3 linked regions of the Xenopus tropicalis genome follow. The protein of the gene in region 1 interacts with the protein of each later gene in a pairwise test. Links are inferred from orthologs where the notes say so. Each region holds a gene or a part of one and is shown in the gene's direction. Other genes may lie near its edges. The genes, in order: lin7a, mpp5 and mpp6.

The links.
Region 2: the proteins of lin7a (region 1) and mpp5 interact in binary tests that used the Homo sapiens proteins (3 or more experiments, as listed by UniProt). The two-hybrid records come from large-scale screens. The link is inferred for Xenopus tropicalis from reciprocal best matches to the Homo sapiens genes LIN7A and PALS1.
Region 3: the proteins of lin7a (region 1) and mpp6 interact in binary tests that used the Homo sapiens proteins (3 or more experiments, as listed by UniProt). The link is inferred for Xenopus tropicalis from reciprocal best matches to the Homo sapiens genes LIN7A and PALS2.

The regions. Positions count from the first base shown.
Region 1 is NC_030679.2:52,567,655-52,573,277, reverse strand, and holds part of lin7a (protein lin-7 homolog A), read left to right. Parts: intron 1-1,959; coding exon 1,960-2,181; intron 2,182-5,623. UniProt on the Homo sapiens protein: Plays a role in establishing and maintaining the asymmetric distribution of channels and receptors at the plasma membrane of polarized cells.
Region 2 is NC_030684.2:119,266,843-119,273,182, reverse strand, and holds part of mpp5 (MAGUK p55 subfamily member 5), read left to right. Parts: intron 1-1,667; 5' UTR 1,668-1,797; coding exon 1,798-2,164; intron 2,165-6,340. UniProt on the Homo sapiens protein: Plays a role in tight junction biogenesis and in the establishment of cell polarity in epithelial cells.
Region 3 is NC_030682.2:40,898,049-40,905,132, forward strand, and holds the start of mpp6 (MAGUK p55 subfamily member 6), read left to right. Parts: upstream 1-3,033; 5' UTR 3,034-3,149; intron 3,150-7,084.

The DNA.
Region 1 (5,623 bases):
ACTACACCCTAAGACACTTAAATGAATAAATTTAATTAAAGTGTAAAGTAAGGGGTGGTTCTTTTTTTTCTTGGCCTGTGTTATCTGACCAGAGTGGATGTCTTCAGGAAGCCTAGAAGGCTAGGCCCTAAGGGGACAAATACCATTAGTGAAGTCAGGGGGCAGGGACCCTGTGAATGAGGAAACAGCAAGGACAGAATATCTCTTGTCATAGCATGTGTAGCCATGTGAGATAGACAGCTTATTTAATAAGAGCAGGTTTTGGCTCCATGTAAGAGAATAGAGGATTAGTTCTCCTTTACCGGCTCTGCTGCCTTATTGTAGGGACCACATTTTAGACACAGGTTGCAGGATAGTGTTCATCCCTGAACCACCGTTGGCCGTTAGGGATCTAGTCCGATAAGGTTGATAACCTAAAGATACAGAATTACATCCCTATACCCTCCACAGTGGTGCAGGACTGTTCTACTTTACTTTTCACTAAATCTGCCTCTAATACCTCATGGTTCATGAGTATATTGCTAAACCCTAAAGATTATGCTCATTTTGTGCATTACTACATTGGTAAATGTAAATACTGGATGGAGCATGTAGGTTGGGAAAATTGAATGCAACATTGGAACCAGTGATAATGCTGACACCACTCCATGGCAAGAGCCCAAGTGAGATAAATATGGCATGGGGGTAATGTCACGTGGTCAAGTCTCATGTACTGTATAAATGCTTAAACAACTCATTATCAATAAGGATACACGTAACATTTCAGTGTCCTTTAACAATGCTTTCTTAGGTGCATTCTGAAGTAAAAGGCACAGTGCAGGCCTACTGTACTGTTTTCAGATTACAACTGGGGCACAGTGTCTAATAAAATATACTGATACTTTTTAAAAAATATATAACTGATTATCTTAAAGGTGACCTGTCGCCCTAAGAAAAAACTCCAAATTATTTTCTATATTGTTAGTTGAGCAAAATAAACTTTACTTACTCTATATAAATAATATAAATCTTGTTTCCTTCCATCTTGGAATTACTCAATCAAAGCAAGCAGGCAGGCACCATTTTGTGGACACTGTTATTAAGGCAAGCTTTGTATCATGCCAAAATCTTGTTTATGTGCCAGAATGGGGGGCCAGATGCCCAGGCCCGTGCACTGGCTACACAATGAGATGATGAGGAGGGAGGGGAAAAGTGAGATGTGCAGTGACATCTAGGTAGTGCTGAATGGAAAGCTAAAGTTATTGTCTGCCCCGCCTCTATGATGGGTCTGTATGTGTTAATATAAAAATGAATTTGGGTTTCATGTTTAATCTGAAAAGGACTTTTATTATACAGCTTTTTATGTCTGGGTGACAGGTCCTCTTTAATACATTTATATATATATATATATATATATATATATATATATATATATATATATATATATATATATATATATATATATATATATATATATATATATATATACACATATATATATATATATTTTGTTTTCTTTTATTTATTCATAATAAGAAGTGTTTTCAAGGGGGAAATAATTAGTGCCCATCAAGTTAAGGTAAACCACTGACTATAGGGACATGTCGCAGTTATTCAGAATTCACCAACTGCAAGTGAGTTTCATTGCTGCAAAGCAGCCAGAGGCACGTATCATCTAATGTCTCTACTGACCTTCATTCCTCTAGCAGAAGATTGGCTGCAGTTATTTGGCTATACTGCCAAGAAATGTTTAATACACAGCATCTGCTGTCTGCCCCACAATGAGAGTTTAAATTGGTTTCACACCACTGCAATGTCGTTTAGGATATAAGTTGATAGTATATTAGTTTAGGAATAAGTTTAATGTGAATGCTTATTAAACATATACCTACTGTATATTTCAAATACGTTGATCAGATTACGTTAAATATCTCTTTTTTTAGCTTGCTTGAATTTATCTAATTTTTCTTAAATATACAGAGTGTGGAAGGGGAACATCATGAGAAAGCAGTGGAATTGCTTAAAGCTGCTAAAGACAGTGTAAAGCTAGTAGTGCGATACACACCAAAGGTGTTGGATGAAATGGAAGCTCGCTTTGAAAAGCTGAGGACTGCTAGGCGGAGGCAACAACAGCAGCTATTAATTCAGCAGCAGCAGCAACAGCAGCAACAACAGCACACGCAGCAAAATCATATGTCGTAGGTGAGAGTTTTCATTGCTTTCACTTCTTATGAGAATGTGGAAATTAGAGAGTCTCATTGCTATGATCTGACTCACAACTTGTCATTGATACGTGAATTGTTTTTTTTTTTTACAAGGGTGGTTATTTATCAACATCCAAAGATGAATATTCAGATCCGTAACCCTTAGGGGGAAATTCACAAAGGTTGTGATACTGAGACAAAATAAAAGTGGAGATAGATTTGTCGGATTTTCCACCGTATTCACAAACCTTTTTCTCCACTTTTGTGAATTTGTCTTTTAAACAAACTGTTCTCCGATTTTGTCATTTTATCAACAATGTTAATGATGGGCTCCTACCAGAGGTGTGAAATGGAGACTGGGTGAAACAAAGCAAAACAGAAGAGCTTAGAATTGATCTGACAGAGTTACACTGAGCTTCACTCCATTTTGAAAATGGCGGGGGGGAAATGTTGTTAAAATGTGGTGTAAATGTCATTTAAAGACAAATTCACAAAATGTCTGTAAACTGTCTTTCACCAAAAACAGAAAAGTGGAATTTAGGCGGATGAATATGGAGAAAATGTTTTCCACCAGTTTTCCCACTACTTTTACTCCAAAAAAGGGCTATTTTGATTTGCAGCGAATTTCCACATTTTGGCATTGGCGAATTGTTTCGCTAAACTGCCGTGAAAATTCGCCGCAGAAAAATTTGACGGGCGTAAAAAAAAAAAAAGACAAGGGCGACAAAAATTGATTAAGTACCAGGAGGTACGAAACGCGTAAGGCTCTTTGTATCATGTGTTAAATAAAAAGTTTTTTTGATTTTACCTCCACTTCTCATGAACAATTGCTATCCACTAATGATTTGACCGGAGTGCCTGCCTTTTTTCTATTTTTGAGACGACAAAAAAAAACCTGTGCAACAAATAAATTTCGCAAATTTTTCGCCGTTTCCCTAATGTTCTTGCCGTTTCGCAAATTTTATGGCAAAGCGAAACAGAACAGATTCGCTCACCTATCATAACCTGACTCCACCTACTTCATGAAGAGAAAATAGAGAGAGAAATATTCCTGAGATGGGCAGTATAAAAAGCAACTTTATTATATTGTAAACTGAATTTTCAATCAATTATATTTAGAAAGTGTCTTATTTTAGTGTGATGAAGCTTATATTATGTTTGAATTTTCATGATAGATCCCCTTTCAACTGTACCAAGGTCACCAGCTCGGTGGATATGCTGGTTTTCTGGGTTGCCTGCTAAAGCAATTCCAAACATTAATCCAAGGGACCACCTACCCTTTGAGAAGTTTTATTCCTTACTGACACAAAACCATTTGTTTAGTACATTTAAACTATCAAATCCAATGCCAGGCACCCACCACCATGCTTGCTGTGACAAACCCCCCTAACTATTTGCCAGTGACACAAAACCCTTTTCCTCTCCCAGGCCACGCTTGAGACAACTTACACAATTATTGAAGGGAAGGTGGGGTGGGACTGCTCCTTTTCTCTTCCTGACATAACCTCCTATGCTTTTCCTGATGTAACTACCCAAAATCCTTCTTACAGCTCCACTCTTCCACTGCTAAACTCTACCCCCAATATGTTAAACCTTTTCCTGCCTGCCCTATCATAAGCCACTGGTGATCAATTGTAAACTGGGCAGCTATTCTGTCAAAGTCTACCCTTCTTGCACCTTGTAGTACTCAGCAGAACTTTACATTATCCCAAGCACTGATCCCATCAGAGTGCCCTGCCTCTTAAAGGAGTACTATACCCCTGGGCTATAAAAGCCTCCTTAACTATCACTGCCTTGACTCCCCTCATCTCTCCCTTATCGCATAGTTTCTAAGTTTAACAACTGTCCCTATCACTAACCCCTAGCTAAAACAGCAGAGTAGTGCAGCAGAACACCTGGCTGACATCTTCTTAGCAACTGAAGAGACTTTGGGTCTCACTGCGGTCACAGACCCTACTTGCGCATGTGCAGTTTGAGCTGATTTCCTGCTATTTCCAACTGCGAATGCGCAAGCAAGGTTCGTATTGGCAGAGAGACCCAAAGTGTCTTGAGTTGCCAAGAAGATGTCGGCCAGATACGCTGCTGCTATACTCTGCTGTTTTAGCTAGGGGTTAGTGATAGGGACAATGTTAAACTTAAAAACTATGCGATAAGGGAGAGGTGAGAGGGGTCAAGGCAGGGGTCACCCGGGGGTATAGTTCTCCTTTAATGACAGAAAATTATGTACCAGAGGTGAATTTTCCAACATAAAACATTAGATGCCATTTCAGGAAGAGCTGGAAGGTGGTAAAGTAAAATATGCAGTGGTAACAAATTCCAGACATGAGACAGTTAATAAGATCCATTTAAAAAAATGACTTGTTCCACAAATCCATGAGTGGGCTACACTGCAACATTATTCTTAAACTTATGACTGAATAAGTGAGAAGATGAAGGTAGTATAAATCTTAGCTACAGGTAAGTTATAAGAAGTAGGTGATTAACAGTGTCAGAAACTCAAGTGTTTGCATAACATGCCCATTCTTGAAGAAGATTCTTGGAAGGATGGAAGAAAGAGGATGGAAGCTTAAAGTTAAAGAGCAGGAAACATAGGAAAACCATGCTAAGGGACTGCTACAGTGAATAGCATGCATTGTACTGTTGCTTAGAACTTCAGCAGCCTTGTCATACCAAACCAAGAGAAATGGGAATTTTCCATTAGGTGCTTGGATATTCACATATTACAACAGAAGAAAGTTTTAAAAAGCAGATTAAGACATTATGATATAAATCAGCATGTAAAAACAGAGAACATTGCAACACATATGCTTAAAAGTTATAGTAGTTAAGACTGTTACATTGGTACAAAGAACACAGAAAACTGCAGTTCTGAACTGAATTTTCAGAGAGGGAGGAGAAGGCAGTTTCTTTCTTTCATTGAGAAATCAGGGCTTCTACGACAAACTATGTTCAGAACAGGCTATATGCAGTCGTCTGTCAGACATCTGAAATTAAGAATTAAGAAAGTTAAAAGAAATTTGTTGTGACTGCTTAGCTAGAATTATATTTTTCCTGCCAGTTTTAGTGTGCATATTTGGAATTACACAGTGTAAAACAGAACTGCTAGCAGCTATGGACTGTATATACTGTATATAGCAGCACTGTGTCCTACATATTAATGTAGCCCTAAATATATAAAGACCACCAAAACAAGAATGAAGCAAGGTTGGCATAGTATTTCCAAAATGTTTTGGGGTAATTCTCTCAGGAGAAAGTATACACACTAAGTAGGGGAATACAAATTTGAAATATATCTCTTACCGTATATACTCGAGTATAAGCCGAGGTAGCTAATTTTACCAAAGAAAACTGGAAAAACTTATTGACTCGAGTATAAGCCTATGGTGGGAAATGCAGCAGCTATTGCTAAGTTTCAATAATCAAAATAAATACCAATAAAA
Region 2 (6,340 bases), on another chromosome or scaffold:
CCTATTTTTGCCAAATATTTTGGTTTTTGAATTCAGTAATCATCCAAATCCAAAAATTGTGGATTTGATGCATCCATAGTTATTTTTGCTGGACATGCCCCATTTGCATATACCCCTTGCAGTGACTGACTGGAGTGTCAGGGACCCCCGAAACCTTAAACCACAGGCCCACTTCCAAACTATTTTTCCTTTTCTCTTCATTGACTTCCTTTATTTTTGGAATAAGTTCTCCTTACTTATTATCATAAAGCCTTCCCTCCATTTCGTTTCTTTGTTTTCACATAGAAACTGGAAATGGCCATTTTATAGGCATACAAGGCAAATGGCTGTGTGAACAGGAGGGCCCACTAAGATCTTGGCCCACCCGGTGGGCCAGTCTCACACTGACCCTTGGTTGAATAACCAATAGCTGAACGGACTATATGTCTTCAAAATATATCAAAATAATATCATACACAGTAGTCTATGCAGCCCATAAGCAGTCTGGGGTTCATAAAGAGGGCTGCGGTAGCTGCAATAACTTATAATTAAATAAATGGATCTGTTGCCCAAGGGCAATGACACACGGGATGTTTTGTTGCCCGTAATAGAACTTTGCTACCGTGGGCAACAAGAAGTCACTTGTTTCCTTCCTACTGGCTAAAATGCAAATCACAGGTGGGGAAACATACAAAGCAGCCCGAAATTTCATAAAGAGGCAACTTCTGGCCACGCCACGTATGTTTTCCCACCGGCGATTTACATTACTGCTGGTGGGAAAGCGTTTGAAGAAGATTAGTTGGCCGCAGTTATTAGAAGATTTATCACAGTTGGCTAATCTCCTAGGGGGGCAATTCACAAATGTGTCGGTAAGTATACAGTTTTTAAAGTGTCAGTCGCCAAATCGTAAAAATGTTGTAAGAATGATAGACTCGCAAAAGGTGTCTTTTATAGTTTTATGGATTTGTTGTAATGCCACAAAGTTTTTAAAAGTGTTGTATAAACAGTAAACAGTTGTAATTATTGTGCTGTGAAAACGTCCTTTGGAAAATTGAGGGAAAATTGGCCTGTGAATGAGTCCTTTTCTGATATTTTTAAGAACCCCCCCCCTCCCAATGTCTTTGTCCTAAACAAAGCCCTGCAAGGTGTTTGTTTTTTTTTATAGATAATACATGTTTTTGTGCTTCACCAAAACATCCAGTAAACATATAATTTACAGTTTGTGTATATAGTGGCTTTACACTAGGAATATTTTGTCTACTGACCTACTCCTCAACTCCTCTCCCATTCCCTCCTCAGACGCCCACATTCAAGGCTTTGCAAGGGCTGCACCCCTTCTCTGGAATTCACTTACTCTCATGTAGTTTAACATGACCTCAGTGTGCTGCTAAAAGCAATAACATGTGCCAAACCTCTCACAACTCTGGTCATGCCCATTCCCACACCTTGTGTCTCAACCCTTTCTCCTTGTAGATTGTAAGCTCTTTTGGGCAGGGCTATATATGTCACTCTGTATGTCCAAAGTATGAAGCCCACTTAATTTTACAGCGCTGCGGAATATGCTGGCGCTTTATAATAATTTGTAGCTTAATTGGCTGCATTGATGTATAATTGTGGGGTGGGCAGGTTTGGCCTGGAATTAAGTTTTTTAACTTTTGCTTAATCATTTTTCTTTCTTTTTCAAACAGGGCAGCATTAACATCAATGCCAGCTTTTATGTGCAGCTCATGAAACCACAGTGAGCTACAATGGGATACTGTACAGACTACAGGACATATACTCACCTATAAGCACCTGGACTGGGTGGTGCCGGCAGTCATGACCACTTCTCATGTGAACGGACATGTAACAGAAGACTCTGACAGTGACAAACAGAGCTCGGATCTTGCTTCTCAAGAGGAGCCACCCAAACATAGGGAAATGGCCGTCGATTGTCCTGGGGACTTGGGTACGCGGGCGATGCCCATCCGGCGGAGTGCCCAGCTGGAACGGATCCGGCAGCAGCAGGAGGATATGAGGCGTAGGCGGGAGGAAGAAGGGAAGAAACAGGATCTGGATGTTAATTCATCTATGAGGCTTAAAAAGTTGGCACAGATTTTCCCCAAAACTGGAATTGACAACCCTATATTTGATACTGATGAAAGTCTAGTGTTGGAAAGTCCTAGCAGGGCTGTGAAAGTACTGGGTATGTATTAACATTCTCTATATGTATTACTTATACATACTTATATGCAAGAAAAGACTTGCATCCTTTTCCCATTAAAGGTCAGAAGATGAAGTTTAGGTAACAGCTGGAAATTTACACACATCATTTGGGGTGCAGTAATATTTGTCCTTTATTTCCATTGTTCCTTTCTGCTGTAAAAATAAATAAATAAAGCTGCCAATCACAGAACCTATGCCCAACCAGTAAGCCCATGGGCCATGTGAGCAGCTTGAATGTTCCAACCTGATTATAGCAGCAGCAGTTCTAGCATATAACTGAGGAAGCTGCAACTGTGGGGGTTCATTTGCTAGCTTTGGGAAAATATACCCTGATACAGTAAGCCATAGCAATAAATCAGTTATTAGCTTTTATTATTATTATTACTGCAGTAGACAGATGAAAGCTAATTGCTGATTGGGTGCTTGGGGAAATGTTGGTAAATGAGCCCCAGTGTCTTTTACATCCCTGCCTTAACTCCTGCCCAAAAACTTCTTTTTTTTTTTGCTAAACGGGGTGTAAGGTCCCTTTTCACAAATATGTCAGGTGCTGTTACTAGCCTATTGCCAGGGCACTGTTCTTTGCCTAAACAAATTAGTTCAGCTCCGGAGAGCAGCAGTGATTTAGAGAGTACTTGTAGGTGCACTAAATCAAATAAATAGGGTTAATAGGAAGGCGGGATTTATGGCTAACTGCTTAAGGCACTGAAGCAATACTGTCATATCCTGCCATCTCTCTATAATACTAACAGCCGCTTACTTTATGTGGAAAAATGCCCTAGGCATTTGCCACGAGCTGATAATGTCCTCCAAGCAACCTGCTTGCGATCACTAGTGACACTTCAGGAGTTATCATGGTAAGCCCACCTGTACATCCCCCACCCTGCCGCCGCACAGCGCCATATAATCATCTCTCTAATGCTTTATTTACCTACCTACGCCCGTCCCCATAAATCTAAATTATAGCTCAGACTTTGGATCCGGCTAGCTGGGAATCTTAAAAGCCCTTCATTACAGGGGATGTCCATGATATATAAGTGCATAAAAACAGGAACAATATGCTGGTAGATATGGAATTTATTAGTTATTGAAATATAGAAACCACATAGTAGGTGAGGTTGATAAACAAAAAAAACAGACTGCCAAATTTCCAACCAGTAACTGCCAGAAAAGAAATTGCACTAATTCTTTTGTGCAACTTGGTAGCTGCCACAGGTGGACAAAAGTAGATGAAACTGTGAAAATCTGGCACTGAGAACCTCAATTATAAAGGTGCCTAGCTGACTGAGCCTGCTGGTAGGGTGTGGTACTGCAAGCAGTATTCACTATGCAATTTCAGTAAAGCCCCCCATAAAATGCAGACCCCTTATCAGTGGAGGGCTTTACAACATACCCATCTAAGTATATATTTCGATAAGACGCTGTAAGCTTTGTTGAAATTAAAGATGGACTGGTAACCGGCAGACTTGTGCTCCCTCCTCCGTTCCGTTTGTTGCTGACCTGCAGGGCTTCGTTCCAGCCGCGTGCGTAAGCAGTGGTGATAGGGCCCTGTCCCCCCCCAACACAGGGAGTATTTTCATAACGCTTCTCTCGTTGTATTCTTGCTGAGTAATCACATTCCTCCCACCAAAATAACTTGCCCAGAATTCCCCTTTCATTTGTCACATTTCAAGTCTGTTAGTTTGTGTAGGGAAAGATTATTCAGATAGCTGACCAGTTTATAATGTTCCATATTCCTGCCCTGCCGTTTATATTGCGGCTTTAAGCATTGCCTGTTTACTAGGCACAGTGATGCCTTTCATTCATTGTTTTTAGTTTACCAATCTCTTGCCAATAAAGCTGGATACAACCTTCTTACCTTCATTTAAAGGAAGGCAACACTAGCAAACTCCCTGCATGCTTACTATTTGCTACATGTAGGCCACAGCAGAAGAGGGGTAAGGGGTTTCGTGCCTGCTGGTGTGGGTCCCACCAAAGGGTTTTTCGTGGGGGAGCCAAGCAACTCTACTACGGTCCATGTCACCTTTCTTAAAATCTTATGGTACTGCTATTGAGTAAGGTGCTCCCTCCATTCTTCCGTTGTCCACATTCATTTTTTAATTCGTTTCCTGTTTTTCTCCATTTCAGTCCATTATAAGCCCCTCTTAAGTACAGCTTTGTCTCTATAATATATATTTTATTTTATATAATATATATATGTAAGTGTTACCTTGGATTTGTAATATTGTGTATATTATTTATGTATGTGTGTGTGTGTGTATATATAATTTCTGTAGGGCCCACATCTGCACATCTGCATACTGGATAAAAGATTTGAAGTACAATGGCATTGCTAGAGTGAGTGTAAACAGGGAATGAATGCCACTGATACTTCTTTAGACAGCTTTAGGATAATAAAGGATATGATATGTATAATTTGTTCACTGATGTTACTTGACCCTAAATAAAAGATGCAGTCTGTATCATATTGTTTATGGTTTTGATATTGAGGTTTTAGTCGCCCTTTAAGAGAAAAGTTGCAAAGTGCATTGTGTGGGAGGTATATGAGCTTCTAAATGTCTAACCACTAGGGGCGCTTTCCTCTGTCTGTATGGTACATTTTGGCTCTTCTGGGCAGCTTGGCTGTGCAGGTATGAGGGCTTCATATAGGAGCATATAGGCCCATACGCTTCAGTATCTGGCTGAAGGCTAAGGAGTCAGGCCATGGTTCCTGACTGCTGGACCCTCTATGTTTACATACTTACCCTAAATGTTGGAGACATGACTTCCAGCACATGCTTATTGCCAGATTGTGGGAAATTGAAAAGAAAATCCCTTTTGACACGGTGGTGCCTGGATAGTAGTAAGTCCTCTGTGCCTGGCATTGGGTAAATGGTTACGCGGCAGTATTGTGTCCTGCCCGCATTGTTGCTGGCAAACTTAGAGCACAAAAGACTCCGAAAGAAAACTTTCCATTTAGTCATTGTCTTTGCTGGACTCTCATTTGCGTAGATCCGTGTTTGCCTGGGTGGAATCTGAGTTGGCAACAATGTCGCGCTGAATCTAATTATGCCCCAAATAACAGGGTGCCCATTTATCCTGGACAGCTGTCTTTTGATATGGGAATGTCAAAGACTCTTTGTGTGTGCTTTATTGCTGCTCTTTTTGCTGTCCTGGCCCCCGCGGCATGCCACTGCTTTCGCTTGTCCCAGCTGACCTAGCCTCTCCTTCTCATTCCATCAGGGTTGTGAGTGATAAGCGCGTAGTGCCTGGGAGGCTCTGCACAACTGCCTCCAGATTCTCTCCTTATGGGACACAATTGCTGCCGCCACCGCCTGCTTGTGACTACAAAGTGAGTGGGTGCGTGGGTCTCTCGCGTGAATGGGATTGACTCTGTATGTCTGATTTGCATGGAAAGTACAGTATGGAGCTAAAGCCCTTGAAAGCACCAGCACTTGCATGATCATATGGTGTTTTCTGCCAAACTGTATATTCTGTGGCTAGAGGTGGTCTAAACTGTAATGTATATTGCACTGATATGGTACAGTAAGAAAGCAACTGATGTCTTCAGAGAGGCAAGAGAGGTCCCACCTAGGATGGCTGTACTGTTATGCTGTACACAATGTTATTAAGGGCTCTTTCCTACTACTAAGTGTTGTATTAGGTGGTTTAATGTTCTTCTTGTGTCGCGGGTTTCTACCACACTCCAAAGCTACACAGGCAGGTTAACTGGACTCTAGAGTGTGAGTGTGGTAGGGATGTAGATTGTAAGTTTTTCTGAGCAAAGGAGTGATGTTGAATGCGAGAGATCCTCAACATCTGGTGCAAGAGGGTCAGTATTACCCCCTTATTGGAAGCTTGAGGGATATAAATGGAACAGAATAAATACAAGTAGATTTAGCCGACTATTCCGCCCCTTCAGATCAAGTCTTTCATTAATTATGGGGCAGGTTTGAAAATACTGTTGGGGAGGACCACATCAGCACATTAAGGCAATCCCCTGCCTATGGGCCTGCACAGACTCTCATGATTCGCTTGTTTGCCCGGCGGCCAAATGATTGGATCAGCTTAATTTAGCCCAGTATATAGGTGGCCATATCAAGCAAAGATAAACTTGCTTGGTGACCTCACAAGTTCAGCAGTTCTTTGCGTGTGTGGTCAGCCTAAATCAGCAGTTAAT
Region 3 (7,084 bases), on another chromosome or scaffold:
GGAGCACTAAAACATTATTTTGCCCAGTCCTGCGCTTAAGGGCAAATGCCCATACCTGATGCACTCTTACCTTCCAGTTTGTGCCTGTATGTTACCCAACCACTCAGATTGTAAGCTCTACGGGGCAGGGACCTCCTTCCTACTGTGTCTCATACCACATGGCACACATATATGTATTTATTTATTATATCACTTGTCCTCCCTGTGTGTAATTTTGTATTCTGTAAGACTGTACAGCGCTGCGTACCCTTGTGGCGCTTTATAAATAAAGTTATACATACATACATACATAAAACTGAAGTTTAAAGGACAATGCAAACCAGTGTCAGTGAGATTTGTGCTTATTGTGCTTACAGGCAGTCTCCATTCACATATGAATGTCAGGTCTGTAGCCTGCCTTTGGCGAGATACCCATTAAGGTAACACTTTCCTTTGGGCTGCAGTGGCACTATTAGGCTGGACTCATCCTCTCCTGGATACATGCTGCATTGGAAAATGCACCAAATACCTAACACTTGTGTTGCAGTGCAGTTGTATGTTCTTACCAGAAAATTGAGCTCAGCATCAATAGCTGCCTGGTACCGGATTACAGCCTAGTACAGTTCACATTGCAAGGCGCCACCAACCAGATGTTGGAAAGAACTTCCTTCCATAATAATACAGTGTATGTAATGAGCACAATGCTTTCCGCTGTGGATTACACTCCATATCCTGGTAGGGGTAACATTGCACTACTCTAGCAGTTTTGCACAGGTTAAACTGCACACTACTGTAGCAGCACTGTACAGAATACACATCTCAGATCAGCAGATAAAATATGAATTATATTACAAACTACCCCCAGCAGTACCATATGGGTCACACAACTTTCCTCCCAGCAGTTCCACACACACTTCACTAGCAGACTTGCAGCCCAGTACAAAGCAGTCAACTTGTTTCCCTTTATGGATTTCAGCAAAGCTAGTGTAGAGTTAAAATGTTTTTTTGGGAAAAGCGAACATCCCCTATCTGCCTATAATCCCCTGTAATGTAACATACTGTTTTTCCCATAGAAAACAACCCCAACCCTGACTGTCTAACCCAGGGATCCCCAACCTTTTATACCTGTGAGCCACATTCAAATGGAAAAAGTGTTGGGGTGCAACACAAGCATGAAAAAGATTCCTAGGGGTGCAAATAAGGGCTATAATTTGCTTTTTGGTAGCCCCTATGTGGACTGGCAGTCTACAGAAGGCTCTGTTTGGGTTTTTATGCAACCAAAACTTGCCTCCAAGCCAGAAATTCAAAAATAAGCACCTACTTTGAGGCCACTGGGAGCAACATCCAAGGGTTTGGGGAGCAACATGTTGCTTACGAACCACTGGTTGGGGATCACTGGTCAAACCTAATAGTTTAAATCAGGGATGGCCAATACGTCAATCGCGGTCCACCAGTCGATCCCCCGTGGATTTCTGGTGGACCGCGATCAAGCCGGGGATGTGGAAGTGCTCCGTGAATGCGTACATACGCTGCGATACGTACGTACTCACGCACTTGTGCATTTGGCATCAGTCCGGTCCATCGCGACCAAAGAAAGTCTGGCCACCCCCGGTTTAAATCTTCCATCCTCTTTTCCTCTGCACTCTCCATCTCATTACTGCACTGCATACTCAAGGTGAGACCTTACCAGGGACCTATAAAGGGGCAAAATTATGTTTTCATCCCTTGAGTCAATGCCCTTTTTTTATTTTTACAAGACAGCACTTTATTTACTTTAGTAGCCACAGAATGACACAAAAATCCCCAGATCCTTCTCAATTGAGGGTCCCCCCAACATACTACCATTTAGTGTATAACTTGCATTTATATTGTTCCTATCAAAGTGTAAAACTTTTCACTTGTCAACAGTGAACCTCCTTTTCCATTTTGCTTTCAATTTTGTCAAATTGCTTTGCAAACTAGCAGCATCCTGCATGGAACTTGATTTCAGAAATAGCCCAGAATTTAGGTGATTCAGTTGAGAATGTTTTATGCCCATTGTGATGAAGCACATTTCCATTTTTATTTTTGTGATCCCATTCAAGTTTTCCTTTACAGAAATGAGGAGCCCTAACCTCAAACCATTATCATTGCCCCCATCCACATTTACATCTGCCAATGGCATTATGCATTCAGGAAGGCAGTGTCCCCCTGGCAGCCGCCAAGCCACACGTATTGATCAGACTGCCAGATGGCACAGTGAAATTTCCGCAGCTCCAGGGTCCATAGGCGCTTACATGGCACAGGGTTATGTTGGGTTTGAGTGCAGCTGCTCAACCCTAATTAAATAAACCACTGTCTCCTGCGAATGTTTCCTGCACCGATGTTGTTTCCATACAGGTTGGAACTGGCCAGTGAGTCCAAACACAGGACTGTAATTTTAGAGGCGATCCTGGGATACTATTAGTTATATTACATATGTGCAACACTATATACTGTTCTACTCCAGTTGCCCTCTGTCTACATGTACATGTGCAGCACTATCGCTGCTCCTATCCATCTGCCCCGCTAAGAAAGAGCCTGCCCACCCCAAGCATTCCTACACATACACACTCCCATGCCTCCCCCCCCAAATCCCGAACAAATGAAAGGGTGCCCCGCCTCCGGCCGCACAACTGGACGCATCACACCGGCCGCTCCCTGAAGCCCTTTCTGTAGCTCCTGTAGCCGCTCGGTACGACCCTCACACCCACCCCAGTCCGTAAGCGCAGCTCCACTCGCAGCCCCTCTATCTGTACACATCTGCACCGTCCATGCCCCCTATTACTACAACCTTCACCTCAACTCCTCTCCCCGTTTCTCATGTGGCACTGTGAGGAGGCGGGCTTTTCTCTAGCAGGTACAGGCGCTGGCCACGCCCCTAAGTGACTTCAAACTGTCCCCGCCCACATTCTGGTCACGTGACTGTGACATCACGACCTCCTGAAAGCCGCTCCAGTCTGGCACCCAGTTAGAGTTTACATGTGTCGCTTGTTCCCCTCTCTTGCTAAGCTCTCTCAGCGTGACTGTACATTGCAGGCTGGAGCATCCACTGTGTGGAGCGGAGCCAGCTTGGGAGGTACCATCTACATAGCGGGGAGCGGCTGGAGAAGGACTGGGGGCCAGGCACGGCGCGCTGTGGAGAGACAGAGGTGAGTGCTGTCAGTGGCCGGGAGCGCTATGATTTGTGCCCAGTACGGCAGTGGGAGGAGGAGGAGCTGCAGACATGTGCAGCATATAGAGGCTTAGCGGCTGGACTAAGTATGTTTGCTCGGTGGGCTCCGTGTCACAGGCAGTGCTCCTGTGTCCCCTCATGTCACAAGGGAGAGCTAGCATTACTGGGAGTGCGCGGAGTGTCCATGCTGGCTTATTACCTATCAGCCTAACAAATGGCACATACTTGTCATATGGAAGGGCCCAGAGGGCAGTTGAGCCGCAAGTTCTGCTTTCAGGGAGGGCGCCCTGCGTTATGCGGCTTTTTAAGAGCGACGGTGTCTGTGCGACAGTTAAATACTATTACTGTATCAGGCAACGCGGCCCTCCGTCTGCCTATGAACTGCAACATCGGGGGGAGGCGGACACAGCAGAGGGCTTACTGCATATGTCTGTGTGGCAACTTGTGCTCCTTGCTGTAGCTATGATTTCGCAGTACGCGTCTGTGTGCCTGGATCGTGTGTGTCTTACTGATCCTGTGGCTCTATGGCTTGTCCCTTATCTAACAAGTGCACACATTTCCCCCAGCCCTATAAGCACAAATGCCTCCTGTATCTTGTACAGATAAATCACATTTATGTACAGAAGCACCGAATGCCTGTGTGGAGCCTTGTCCCTTGTGACTGTGGGTACTGTCAGGCTGAATCCGCTGCTTGCAAAAGCCACAGGCTCTGCTTTAGGTGTATAATGTGCCTGTAGCAACGGTTTCCATTAGAAATACCCCTAATACTTAGGGAAGGTATGCAGTAAATGGCATTATTGAAACTATAGTAAAATAGAAAATGATCTAATTCATTTATCTATACTATCATATGCAGTTATAATGAACATTTACTCCTGCCCCCACTTACCTAAATGGTTTATTCTCACTTTTTGTACAGCTCATAAATGTACTTTTTTTGCAACCTTTCAGTGGATATCATGGGCTCTAAAGAATCATTGGCAGCAGATATATCCACTGGAACATTGGCATAGGTCTTAGGGCAGTTAATGAAAATAATGTGGCCTTGTCTCTACTTTAATGAAGAGTAGTATTCACAAAAGCTAAAAATATATTTAGGGTGGGTATTTAAACTATCTGTGGTAAAGGATTTCAGAGCTAGCCAACTCACAGGGACTACAGCTTCTTGGCTACTGAAACTGCACTTCTAGCTTTTTACATTTGAAATAAAAATATTCATACAGAAATGCACATTCCATGCTCAGAATCTGGAAGAAAGCTTTGCAGTAAGTGCTCTGTAAGCTACTGAAGTTGCCAGTAGTTTATTTAATAAATCACTTCATTACCCTTCACCGGTACAAAAAAGCTGTGAGTGTATAACTTACAGAAGGTGTCTATAACCTGGAACAATGCAGTGAGCTTTGCTTGGTCTGTAGGACAAAAGTGCATTATAGTAGTTTTACTTGTGTTTTTTCCTTCAATTTTTATGTTTGTCTACTTTTTTAAAAATGTTGTTATACAAATGCTACAACAGGGCAGTTTTACATTTTGCAGTAAAGATGCTTGAGTAAAGATACATATTCTAACCGTATTATATTAAAAAAAAAAAAATGTGCAGTGCATTATACTCCTCTAAATGTGAAAGGAATTTGCTTTAAAAAGATTTGTTTTGGGCTGTTTTATTAAGATTAATTGAGAAATTTCCCCCAACCCCTACTAGTCCTGCCTATCTGTTCCACTTCCTGCTGCCTCCTTCCCCAGGCAGTGCAGGGGGGCCTGCACAACTCAGCACTCTCACTGAACTGTAGGATAGGAACCAATCAGCAGTCAGGTGAAGGAGCTAGAGAACTAATGCCTGCCTTTGCTTGTGTGACTGCTGGACTGTGATTGGCTCCTACTGTGCTTCCGGCAGGGACCATTAGGACACGCCCACTCCCCATTTGAAACAGGGACTATACCAGATATTTGAGGAACTTCAATAAATTACAATTTTTAAAGTTAATAATTTTTGGCTCAGAGTGAAACCTGACACATGTAAAGCAATCCTTTCCTTAATTATGTTGGATATAAAAAGGGCCCTGAATTAGACTCTGGCAGGGAAAAGTAAAAAATTTAAAGTATTCAGAATCTGCAAGCCTCACACTCATGTAAAGTCCATCAAGTCTTTACAGAACCCATTAGTTTGGGTATATAATCTGCTTTTTGGAATGCTTGGGACCTGAGGTTTTCCAGATAAAAGATATTTCCTCAACGTGGATTACTGTACTTTAAGTCTGCTAAAAATAATCGAAACAATAAATAAACCCAATGGCATTGTTTTGCCCCCAATATGAATTCATGCAGTTTAGTTACCAACAAGTATAAGCTGCTGTTTTATTATTACAGAGAAAAAGGAAATCATTTTTAAAAATAAGACTTATTTGCTTAAATTGGACTTAATGGGAAATGGCCTTCCCATAGTTCTGTGCTTCCTGGATAATGGGTTTCTGGACAAGGGATGCTATACCTGTAGTGGCTATTTAGCCATGCATAGATCATTGGTCTTTTCCTAGTTTTTATCACTCATTACTGCTTGTACTGGAACAGAACTTCATAACTTGAATTACCATTCCCTAAAGGAACCCTTCCAGTGTTTCCGGAAATACCTTTCATCTAGTCTCTATGGATGTCCTCTTGTCACCATGCTTTTGTATTGACCTTGTAAATATCTGTTCTTGTACATCTGTGCTAACATGAAATTGTATATGGTGTCACTAATTTCTCACAGCATTGCAGCACAGCATACCTACTCAGGAACGGGCACAGAGGGGTCTAACAAACAATTCATTTTACATATGCAAAATCAGCCCCCTTGTATCATCTTTTCTTTATATGTGATCTAAAACTTTGCATATATATACTATATCATAAAATGTGGTCACTTAATATATTCTCTTAAAAGTTACTGTTAATAATGGTATTTAAAATAATAATAATGCATAGTATGTTCTTTGGAGTTTTAGGGGGAAGCTTTTACTTCCCATTTAATAAAACTTTTACTTCCCATTTAATACTATAAAAGGACAATAAAAATTGCTGATCCATAATCTTTTTAGCTGTAGCTTAAATATAATATGTTCTGTTTACAGGAATTGTCTTTGTTCCCATCTAGTTTTCTAGTTAGGTGAAGTTTTCCCTTTGCTACCTTATGTGAAATGGTATCAAAGCCTTTGGAAATTCTAATCATCCCAAACCTGACTTACCATTATGGGCATGAGTGAGATCTAAACAGTTATGTCTGATATTGGACCGTCTTTATCAAGTAACGCTAAAAAGGTTAGTGTTAGAGGGGCTTTCCAAGAATGATACCCAACAGAAATAGAAAACTAATGAATAATTGTTCAGCTAAATTAAAAAAAAAAGTATATCAGATCATTCATCTGAGCATGAAATTAGAAAACAATGTGTCTTGCTTTTTTTATCTTGACAAATGTGCATGAAGTGACATTTGTTCAGTTAACTGGCACCTTAATATCTGCTATGGACTGTGTTTCAAGCAGGGTGTCATGATAGTAGCATGCAGCCTCTTGCAAGATTATTTTTCCTTAATTTCACCAGTTCCTAAATTGTCTTTAAGGGCGAAGACGCACAGAGCGATTAGTTGCTACTAATTTGCGCTATGAAAAATAGTAGCAGTTTTATTGACTGGCTGGTAATTTATATGAAGTTTGAGGGGAAACCATTAGTGATGTGTGTGCTGAGCTGCAACCTATGGGATTACCCTTAGGTGGTGGGGGGTTTGAAATATGGGCAACTATTGTGGATTTGTGTTGGGTGCTGGTCAGACTACAACAAGTATTGTAAAACAGCAATCTGGAAGGCAAAGATAGAACATGAGGAGCACATTGTGGCAGAGGCCAAGACTAACCCCAAAAAGTTTAAGTATATTAATAA